3 linked regions of the Oryzias latipes genome follow. The protein of the gene in region 3 interacts with the protein of the main gene of each other region in a biochemical or structural test. Links are inferred from orthologs where the notes say so. Each region holds a gene or a part of one and is shown on either strand. Other genes may lie near its edges.

Region 1 (3,754 bases), on a different chromosome or scaffold from region 3:
CACATTATGTCTTTACGTTGACTTAACATTAAAACTGGGTCAATTGCATTCAGTGTGAACACAACATGACAAATTAAACAAGAACTTGTACCTTTGCTGCCTGTGATGACGGGCACATTGCGTGGACGTGAGCGGCAATCAAAGATGACCGGCTTCTGAACCCAGGGAATGAGAAAGTGAGTTCCTTCTCCAACCACAATGTCCTGCACTCCTCTGAACCGGTCAAATATTACAGCCCGGTGCCCTGCATCAACTACAAACAAACCAACAGTCAGTCATTTCAAACATGATTACATTTTAGCAGGAAGGGCTCCTTTTAGTTTTAGACAAAGAACTGCTATTAGAGGCCAATATATGGTCAGAATTATGCACTGGTAGATTATCAGTGCATATTATAAGTTTAATACACAATGTTGACAAAATTTAATTAACAGAATAATTATGACTAAACAAAGAACACATTTTTATAATGCAAAAACAAAATAGATGGATTTATTTCAAATAAGGACAATTCAATAATTGAAGGTGGTCATCCTGGCTAAAGAAAGTAAAACTTTTGTGATATTTAGATGGTCCTCAGTAACTCTGTGGTTCAAAGTCATCCTTTTGACCCAGTGGAGACCTCAGTGTTTTGTAAATAAAGCTGAATTTGTGACAATCAAAGATGTAAAATTGACTATGACATTAATTAGGACAAATATGTTATATCGGTTGCTGGAGTGAGCTTTTTCCACGTAAGGCTACTTTAAAGAATAAGCCCTTTAAAGCTTTCTTAGACTTTGCAGGCGTTTACTAGCACTTGTTTATACTGTTGTGATGCTCTATAATGGGTGTTAGTCATGACACTTTTTTACCTGCAGTGGGACTAAACATTTGTTTGCTTGATGTGTCATTGAATCCCTTAAACAAAGCCACATCTCCACTTTTCTAGCCCGACTTCCAGTTAGTCTTTGGATTGACCTAAAGATTGTATTTGTTTCTAAAGCTATTAAAGGGTTAGGTGGTTTAAGGTGCCAGCATCCAGCGATTACTTACTTTTAGTTCCTCTTAAATTTCAGCTTAAGATTAGCAGAGATTTAGCTTTCTTAGCAACAGTGTCAGAGATGCAGATTCAACCTTGGCTGCATTTAAGTCTGCATTAGAAAACTACTTTTTTACTAAAATAAGAATAAAAACATTAGATAAAACCAATTTAAGAATTTGTATAGTGTGAAAAAAAATTTGTTTCCTCTCCAGTGTAAAGAAACAAGCACTATCATATGTTTTTTTTTTTTAGTATTTTAAAGGTTTAATGATTTTTCTATAGTTTTCTGTTTATTGTAAATCTATAATTAAATATAACTAAAACAAAGATTAAGAAATTATTAATAAATGTAAAGGAATTAGTCATGGACCTTTCAAACAGAAACAATGGGCCTATGTGGACCTACTGCTTACAAAGCTTCTCATTAAGTTTTGTATTTTTCAAGTATTTTTTTAAAGATCATTAATGCAATACATTTATGTCCCCTTCACAGGTCAACAGTGCAGCATGGTGTTAATGCAACATCCTCCACCGGTGTCAGTCAAGTAAACAATAAACATTTTCCTTAATTATGTCATTTTAAATATGAGTTATTGTGGAGAGACTGCATAAAACCCATTGTGTTATTCTGGAGTTATTTTTTTACATGGGGCTACAAAGTTAACAATAACTTGTTTCTAGTGTCAATACCATATTGGCGGGATTTAATGGGTTTAAACAAGTAACCAGGGATTTCAAACTCCTAAAAACAAAAGACAACAAGCAAATTGAGAGCTATTTTACCAATATAGAGTGAACCAGAACCCTCTTTCTTTAAATGACTCGTTTTTTTCTTTTTTAGACTCACCATTATAAAGTGCAGAATTCACAACGCCTCCTCCAATGGCGAGAGCCAGACCCAACTTTCCAATGGACTCAAATAATTTAGCCATGGCAGAAACCTGGAAGCGATGAAAACGAGGTCATCACACACGTTAACAAGAAAACAACTTCAGTACAGACTAACACAAGTCATCCAAGCCTTAACTGTCAGTAGAAAGTGGGTGTTTTAATAGTTTCTATCCAGTAACGGTTGCGTATGTGGCCTTGAATGATGTCAAAGCGGCAGAGATGGTGGCTAGGGTTAGCTCAGAAGCTAACATGAGTTTCGCAGTGATCGGTTCAGCGTATGGTTGCAACAGATAAAATTGAGTTTGGCACGTTAATGTTTACATAAAAGTGCGGCAAAAAGGCTTTTATCAAACAATCTAGTGGTGCCTCAGTACGCAAGCTAGCTTACGTTGGGCATGCATGATGGATTTGAGCAGGGCTGTTCCGTCTACCAAACATGTTTATTTATAAAAGCTATGCTTGAAACAACTCCGTAGCACTGCCTAAAAATGTGCAAAGTAATGTTTAGGGAAAAATCTCAAAAGTTGTCCGAGGCTTAATCGTGCTGTATCACATAACTCACCTTAGCTTTCTTGGATGCCTGTGACCTCCACCGGACACGACGTAGAGCACAAGGGATGCCTGTTCTACGGCGCATGCGCAAGAATGTTGCAACAAAGCCGCTGATTGGACAAAAACATGTCAATCTTCTTCTACGAATCTTCAATGCTGGTAGACTGTTAGTGGAAACATACTGACAGCGTCACCTACTGGTATATTTAAACTTAACAGTACAACAATACTAGAGGGAACAATGGATGGATGGATGGATGGCAATAAATGTACTTCCTCAAATCCTTAAACATTTCAAGTTAGGAATGGAAGTATAATTAAGTTATACAGCATTAATAAGGGAAAATTAGTTAAAATAAATCTAAATATAGTTAACGTTCATTATCATTTATTGTCACATGATACTTGTGTCAAATAACATTTTAGCCAATTAAAAAAATTTAAACATTTAAGAAAATGCATGTACAGTTGTTCAGAAAAGCATCATATGAGCACACCCCATTAAGAACTGATACAGACTCAAGACTTTCTACATTTTGACACAAGTGTATTTCTTGTTTAAATTTTTCTCCAAAGCTTTAACTTTCAATATTTAAAATGTTTCAAAACCTTTTTAAAATCGTGAAACATTGTTTTAAAAGTTTGGTTGCCATACTGACTATTACAATATTGTTTGAGTAAAAGGAAGTTTTTTTATGTTTTATTACCAACACAAAAGTTTTAAGAAAGTGTAATAAGACAAAGTCCAGCAAAACAATATCATATTTATTTAAAAAATATATTGTTTATAGCCAGCCTATTGTAAAATTAAATAATAAATGAACTCACACATTTTCTTTTTTTTATCTCCCTGGGACGTTCATTGAAACGTCGAAGTCACTTGCACACACACACAAACAAACACACACACACACGTTCATATAGCCTTGTGTCGCCCCCTATCGGACAAAAACGGCACTGCACGTAATCAGTTTCACTTTCCTTACGGCGTAAGGCTTACGCTGTGAGGAAAAGAATGACCATCTTTAAATGTTAGCGAAAGAAGACTACCGATCGTGGAGCATTTGTAAGGTCGGTAACGAAAGCATCTCATTGAAATTCACGGTTCATTTCTTCACCTTTTTTTTTTTGGTCGCTGGTTTTGCGACAGACGACGATCGTTTTGATTTATTTACTTCCTTAACTCTCGACCCTGCAGCAGACAGTATGACTTCCTCTGTCGTTTTTCCTACACGATCGTGCAGTTTTGTATTAAAACTTTTACTGGAAAGTAGAAAAGGGTATATA
Region 2 (3,754 bases), on a different chromosome or scaffold from region 3:
TTTCCACTTGAACAAAATATCTAGGTTTGAGCTATAAATGCTTAAATTGTGATTTTTGAATGTTTCTTTTTATTATTACTTTTCCAGAGGTTTTTACTTTACCTTTATTCTACCAGGTAGTCCTATTGAGACAAGATCTTTTTTTCAAGGGAGTCTTGGTCCAGAGGCACATTTCAATACAAAAAAATACATAAAAACAAACATCATTAAAACCACATACATCATGAGAAGCAGTTGCACATTATTGTTTCAGTCTCTGATGCTTTGAGCTTGTTCTTAAAAACATTTAAAGATACCAGTTCAGTTAGTTTCCAGTCTTTCTGCAGCATTTTCCAAGCAGGAGGAGCAGAGTGGACTAAGGCTTTTTCCCAGCTCTGTGCAGCAAATGGAACAGAAACAACCGTCTAAGGATCAGAGGAGTGAGATTCCACACTTCTCCTTGTGATTAAGGAACAAATGTAGGGAGGGAGTAATAACCAATAGTAACTACCAATAATAATAACCAATAATAATTACCAATAATAATTACTAATAATAATAACCAATAATAATTACCAATAATAATTACTAATAATAATAACCAATAATAATAACCGATAATAATAACCAATAATAATTAACAATAATAATAACCAATAATAATTACTAATAATAATAACCAATAATAATTACCAATAATAATTACTAATAATAATAACCAATAATAATAACCGATAATAATAACCAATAATAATTAACAATAATAATAACCAATAATAATAACCGATAAAAATAACAAATAATAATGACCAATTGTAGTAACCAATAATAACAACCAGTAGTAAGAACCAATAATAATAACCAATAATAATAACCGATAATAATAACCAATAATAATTAACAATAATAATAACCAATAATAATAACCGATAATAATAACCAATAATAATTAACAATAATAATAACCAGTAATAATAACCGATAATGATAACTAATGTCCCTGCCTCCTAGTGGCCAGAGAAGTTTTTGCCTTCAATGTGTTCGTGCTTTTGTTTTTTATAAAGTTTTAGAAAAAAAAGTTGACATCCGGTACATAAGAAAGGGGGAGAGGGGGGCGTAGGTTTCTCGCCTCTGATTGGTCAGAAGGGTAAAGTTTTCGCGCCACCGCACTGCATGCTGGGAGCTGTTAGCGGAAGCGACGGGAACCGTGTTGTTGTGGTGAGAGCTCGGCTCCGCCGTTGTTTGGTTCTGTGGGTCGGATTCGAGCTGCGCGGACGGGCAGCGCTGGTTCTGTGGATGAGAGGGGAGGAGTCTTCGGATTCTGAGTCGGGGAGGATGGAGGAGAGTTCGGTCCGGAGGAGTTTGGAGGTGCTGTGTCAGGAGCTCAACATGGACGAGCAGACAGCCAGTGAGGCCATGGACAACTTCACCTCCATATGGAACACATACACTCTGGAGGTAAACGACTGGCTTCGGTTCGGTTCGGTTCGGGGGGGGGTTAGAGTCTCCCGGGGGCGCTGTAGACTGACCCGCTATGAGCCAACGAGCGCTTCTGCTCTGCGACCTCCGGTCATGATATACATTAATACATGATGCTGTGACGTGAGTTTTCCTGAAGCTTACCGGAGATTTTTGTGTTTACACACAGAAACACTGAAATGAGGCTTATTTGTGAGACTGAGTTAAAACATCCAGGTGTTGATTTGAGTCATAGGATTGTTGTTTACGTCCGTTGTTGAATCAACGTCACAGCGAGATGCTGCAGGTGACGGGAAGAGGAGCCTCGTCTTTAGGTTTACCTGGTAACTAATGGCAATAAATAGATGGCAATAAACGGAAGGTGTATTTATTATCTACAACATGGAGGTGGATGCACTGAATTTTTAAATATGAAGTCCTTATTTTTTTAGCAAAAACTAAGAAAATATTAGCAAGAAAACAGTATTTGAGGGGCGTAAAGAGAATTATAAATTCCTACTGATTGAACAGGGCAGTGAACACAGCACGACTCACCTGCATAAAGGAGGATTTGTAATCAAAGGCGTCTAATATCTGGATTTTTGATTTGATGTGGCTTTAAAAGGGACTCTGTTCATTTATCTGTTGCTGTCTAGAAAAGTGACCCAAAGAACAGAAACGTCCAAAACTTTACTAGATTTGTTTTAGCTCTTTGATTAATATACAGTAATAATAATCACACATTTTATTTAGATGGCGCCTTTCTGAGCACTCAAGGTTGCTGTACATCATATGTACTTATATAAAATATAATAAACAGTTAAAACAGCAATTTAAATAAATACAAATAATAAAAATATTTAAAAACAGGAAAAGGTTACAGTGAATGGGCCATTTGGAGGAAATGAGTTTAGTTGTTTTTATTTGATGATTTTTTATGGATTTGTTTGATCTCAGGGTTGAGATGGTGGATTTGTTCTGTGCGCTCCTGCTGCTGTTTAACACGATGGCGTTGAAGATGGAGATGCCTGAAATTCTTCACATGATTCAATGTTTCTTTAAATGTAGAAAAATGACGTCACTCTGGTGAATAAATTCAGCATTTTTGTAGCATATTTGGTTCCAAACGGATCCAAATGTTGTACATTTAGTTGTAATAACTGGATTTTATGTTGATGCGTTATTTTAACTAGACGAGTGAACGTTAGGAAATCGTTTATCTCTGTTGTTGTCTCCATAAAACAGCTGTTACACCTCATTATGAATTCATATGGTTAAAGATGTAAAGTCTATTTTGAGCAAAATGAAAAGAATGAAATAAAACGCAGTATTTTACTGAAATGTGACTGAATGCTGAACGTGTTCATGTTTCATCTACTAGCTGTTCCTGAGGGTTTAGCACAGGGTTTTGTTCAGAAGAACCTGAACCTTTACCAATCATTTCATTCACGCACCAATGGAGGCACAGCTGCCATGCCAGACGCTAACAGGCCCAAGGGCACTCGGGCACCGGTGGGTGGGCAGAGCTGGACGATGCAGAAATGTGCCGTTGTGTTCCTGCAGGGGGAGGTGGTCCACTGGCTGGCCTGTTCTCTGTACGCCGCCTGCAGGAAGGGGTCCACCCCCACTGTGGGGAAGGGGCTGATGGAGGGCAACTGTGTGTCCCTGACCCGGATCCTGCGCTGCTCCAAGCTCAGGTCAGGTTCTGCTCTGCAGCTTCTGCTGGATTTTACAGCCAGTCCCGGTCAAACGGGATCCGCCTGTGCAACTTTGGGATTTGCGTCTTCATGTTTGGTCCCGTTTGTTGTCGGCCCCCCTCCCAGCCTGATCCAGTTCTTCTCTAAGATGAGGAAGTGGGCCGACATGTCAAACCTGTCACAAGACTTCCGGCTGAGGATGGACCGGCTGGAGCGAAACTTTGAGGTGTCCACCGTGATCTTCCGCAAGTTCGAGCCCATCTTCATGGACATGTTCCAGAACCCACAGGGCAGCGAGCCCCCCCGGCAGCCCCGCAGCAGGAAGCACAGGTGGGACGCCGGCGCGCCTCAGGCATGACGGTGTATACTATATACATGTCCACAGTATACTATATATACACACATACACACATGGTGCATTGCGTCTTGTTGGAATATCTTGAGTTCAAATAAAACCCGAGCAAAGGTTTTGACAAAAACAAATACATTTTAGGCTTTTGTCTTGATGTTTCATCCTTTTTACTGATCTGAGACATGATCCAAACCGTGAGTGTTGGGATCCGTTGCAGCTCCATCTCTACTGCAGACACAGCTTGAACTCTGACCTCCACGTCAGAGAC
Region 3 (3,754 bases):
TGGAAAACAGGTGATCCTCCGACTCCAGCTGTGAAGACGTTCCAGCGGCACAGGCAGGCCTCGTTTGGACCACGCCATCGAAACTTTTATTTTCTTTAAGGTAATATTTATAACCAGCCTTTAAAGAAACTCCAAGCCCCGCCCTCTCTGACGTGGCCACGGGACCTGGATTTCGGAGCCACGGCGGGTCTTTTGGTGGTTTAAAAATAGAAATCCACCGATGAAGATTCTGCTGAAGGAAACATCTTAGAACTGAACGGTCAAATGTGGATTTCAGTGATAAAAAAACAAAAGGAACTGAGGCTCAGCCTTCAGCAGAAATTCTCCTTCAACTTCTCATCCCAACGGCCCCAAACGTCTGCGGACGGAAACGCTTCACGCAGCATGTGGACGCCATGATGTCATGAGTCAGTCTGAGCGTTACGCAATCCAAAAGATGTAAAATGATTGGTGGTCCTGTTCAAAAACACAGGACCTGGACTGCTCTATCCTGCATTAAATTAGGATTTAGATAGTAAAGAATTCATTAAACACAGTTTCTGACTCATGAAAATGTGAAATAGGAGGATTTTATAGTATTTTACGCACCGGGTCCTCCTAAGACCCGGTCCTTTTGAAAAACCGCTGGACCTGGACTCATTTTTATTTAATCATTTTAAAGTTTTTGTGGCTTTCCTGCTCGCAGCGCTCTGTTGTTTGGGATTCTGTTGCCTCCCCTCTTGTGAATTCGTGTCGTCTGCCTGCAATGCAGCTCACCAAACGACGGCAGACTAAAAATAGATCATTTTAAATTGATCAACTACATAAAATCATCCCATTTCAATGTTCATAAATCAGAAGCTGTGTTTAATGAATTCTTTACTATCTAAATCCTAATTTTAATCCAGGTTTGAGCAGCCCAGGTCCTGTGGTTTCTGAAAAGGACCTGGTCTAAGGTGGTCTTAGGGTGAAAAATGCAGTGGAATGTTCCTTTAGTGCCCCCGCTAACCGGACGCCAGCTTCAGCGCCGTGAAAGGATGCCGAGTCGGCGCTCCTGCTCCTGAGCGTGCGGCGTACCTCTGGGAGGAGCAGGAGTAGAAGGAGGTGCTTGGCTGGCGGAGGATCGGGTGGTGCTGACATACTGGTGGTCGCTATCCAGGTCCAGCTTCCTCTTCACCTAATCATCAAATGAAGAGGAATCGATTATGTGAACCCCGGCGTGTGATGATGTGGCGGCGGCGGCCGCCTTGAAGCCACGCCCTCACCGGAGGTCTTCCCAGAGCCGGCCTCCTCCTGTCCTGGCCCCCCGCGTCGGCGTGGCTCTGCGGCGTGGCGAATAGCAGGATTTCCCCCGTGCTGCTGGGGGCGGCCAGCGGGTGGAGTCCCTCATTGCTGGGGCTGGTGATGATGACGATCTGGTGGTCCTGGCTCAGATCGATGCTCCCGGAGTTCAGCAGAGTCTCAAAGTCCTTCAGCAGATCCTCGGATGTCTGACCCGTTATCAGAGTCTCTGACATGGCACTGCCTGCCGCCCAAAGGGCTCCTGCAGCAGACTGGGGGAATGCCAGGGAGGGTGGGGGCACCAACTGGGGTATCAAAACAGGCTCAGCACCAGGTGACCCCAAACATGTTAGGAGGACTTGAGGAGAAAATGCTGATCCATTAACCTCTCCTCCTCCTCCTCCTCCTCCTGCTGAAGGTTGACCTACAGCGAGCCTGAAATCTGCAGATCAACCACAGAGGAGTCGAAGGTTCAAACGTCAAGGCGAGACGTGGAGCCCAAACAGGAAACGACCCGCTGAGCGCATCCTACTTTAGGCTCACGCGCTGCTCGGCTCGCGCGCCGTTTTCAGCGGAAATAAAAGAAGGTCAAAAGACGAAGTAGAAGAAGAAACCCGCCGTAAATTGAGATCATGAGCGAGCTAGCCTGCTAGTCTTTCGTTTTCCTGTCAGAGGCCTCGCCACTCCGTCCTCAAACACAGAGCTACCAAGCTAACGAACTAGCTTACCACAAGAAAAGACTACAACAACTTTGCTAATAAACACGAACAACAGCAGAGGACTACATTTACCACCACTACCTAAAAGTTTATCTCCTTTTCCCTACGATATGGCTTCATTAACGGGTTCGGAAAACTTTATAGACGCTCACAGAACTGGGCTATCTAAGCAATAAAAAAAATACACATTCACTCGGCGGAGGCATCATGATCGCAGATCCACACCATCTTTGAGAAAATAGTTCCCAAAAGAAAGCAACCATCCGTCCGGGCGACGGCGACGACAGAGAGTTTAGCGCGGAAATACGGGGAACTTTAGCATGCTAGCTTCAGGGATTAGCTGCAGTTCTTCGGTCCCCCTCGTACTGTTGGGGCACGCAGGAAGCACTCGGAGAAACGCGGGAGATGCAGACAAAACGGAGGAAATACTCGCTCAAACGTTAAAAAATGTGCCGATGCTCCTTCGTCTGCTCGCCGAAGATCGGGTCCATCTGTAAACGAGCCGCGCCGACCCCATTAGCAGCCGTCATTGTTGTTGTCCCAGCTGATCTATATCTAAACAAGGCTGGACGGTTTTCGCGCGAAATCCTTTTTGCCGCGAAACTGGCACGTGGGGAAAAGCGACCGCTGGGATTGGCCAGTGGGATTCGTTTTGCGCGTGACGCGATTGGTGTCTTCCGATTGGTGGAAATGGCCGTCTGTCACGTTACAGAGCATGGGGAAAACTGGCCTTCCATGTGACCAGGTTGGTGTTCTCTGATTGGCGGAGATGGCCGTCTGTGACTCTCCAGAGCACAGATTTGCTGATTGGGAGGTGCATTCACGTTCCACGGACAAAAGGCTTCTTAACTGCTTTGTTTAGGAAATTTTAAACAAAATAGTAAAACACGTAGTGTCAGTTTCATGTAAGGTTTCCCAAAACTAAAAGATAAACTCCTTTACCATATTAAATATATGATGTAACAGTCTTTGCGTCCCAGCTTAAAAAAGTTACGTTTTTTCAATGTAGTCCCTAGCGCTCCCTCTCCGTTTAAGCAATCAGATTAACAAAAAATAAAGTTAAATCTGATTGCTTAGGAACTTTCTAAACTAGAGTTTTCTGGGGGTCTGAACCAAATGTGATAAGTTTTTTTCTATTTGCAAATATTAATGTAAGCATTTCATTGGGGGGTCTGCACCTAAAGTAACAGACCCTACCAATCGATCACCGATGGTAAACAGGAGCGCTGTAAGATGGCGCAGACAATATTCGAGGCGCTGGAAGGTACAAATATAGTCTTATTTACCGCGCAATTATTAAATATGTTATATGCCAAAGAAAACCACATCATGTAAATTAACTGGAGACTTGTTTGAACACTAAATCACCCTTTAAACGGGTATTATGTAGGCTGTAAGCACCCTGAACTGAAGGGTTCTGCCTGATCTGATGATGATGATTGTAAACAACCTGATTATATTTTAAAGATTAAGACTGTACTGCTATAAACGGCTTTTTTTGTAAATGTAATATTAATTATTTCTGTAATATAATAACTCATCTCGTATGTCAGTGTAAAAGCTGTACATGTGACAATAAAAGCTATTCATTAATATGTGAACATGCACTCCTCGCGTTATTGTTTCTGTCACTTTCATGGAGAAGCAGATCTTCTTCTAACATGTTGTAAAAAGAAAAGCTGTTACTGATGTTAAATCCCTGTTTCCCTCCATCCCCTCAGGCATGGACAACCAGACCGTTCTAGCAGTCCAGTCCCTGCTGGATGGCCAGGGGG

Evidence for each region.
Region 1: the proteins of e2f1 (region 3) and phb form a complex in vitro, tested with the Homo sapiens proteins (2 studies listed by BioGRID). The link is inferred for Oryzias latipes from reciprocal best matches to the Homo sapiens genes E2F1 and PHB1.
Region 2: the proteins of e2f1 (region 3) and rbl1 form a complex in vitro, tested with the Homo sapiens proteins (2 studies listed by BioGRID). The link is inferred for Oryzias latipes from reciprocal best matches to the Homo sapiens genes E2F1 and RBL1.

The regions. Positions count from the first base shown.
Region 1 is NC_019866.2:5,517,769-5,521,522, forward strand, and holds the start of phb (prohibitin), read right to left. Parts: upstream 2,592-3,754; 5' UTR 2,553-2,591; coding exon 2,478-2,552; intron 1,966-2,477; coding exon 1,872-1,965; intron 254-1,871; coding exon 92-253; intron 1-91. Other genes in the region: uncharacterized protein LOC105354523, read left to right, coding at 3,497-3,538.
Region 2 is NC_019863.2:32,787,104-32,790,857, reverse strand, and holds the start of rbl1 (retinoblastoma-like protein 1), read left to right. Parts: upstream 1-1,165; 5' UTR 1,166-1,275; coding exon 1,276-1,437; intron 1,438-3,000; coding exon 3,001-3,134; intron 3,135-3,260; coding exon 3,261-3,464; intron 3,465-3,754. UniProt on the Homo sapiens protein: Key regulator of entry into cell division. Directly involved in heterochromatin formation by maintaining overall chromatin structure and, in particular, that of constitutive heterochromatin by stabilizing histone methylation.
Region 3 is NC_019865.2:2,000,336-2,004,089, forward strand, and holds the start of e2f1 (transcription factor E2F1), read right to left. Parts: upstream 2,702-3,754; 5' UTR 1,793-2,701; intron 1,703-1,792; 5' UTR 1,497-1,702; coding exon 1,245-1,496; intron 1,157-1,244; coding exon 1,057-1,156; intron 1-1,056. Other genes in the region: znf341 (zinc finger protein 341), read left to right, coding at 3,213-3,243, 3,701-3,754. UniProt on the Homo sapiens protein: Transcription activator that binds DNA cooperatively with DP proteins through the E2 recognition site, 5'-TTTC[CG]CGC-3' found in the promoter region of a number of genes whose products are involved in cell cycle regulation or in DNA replication.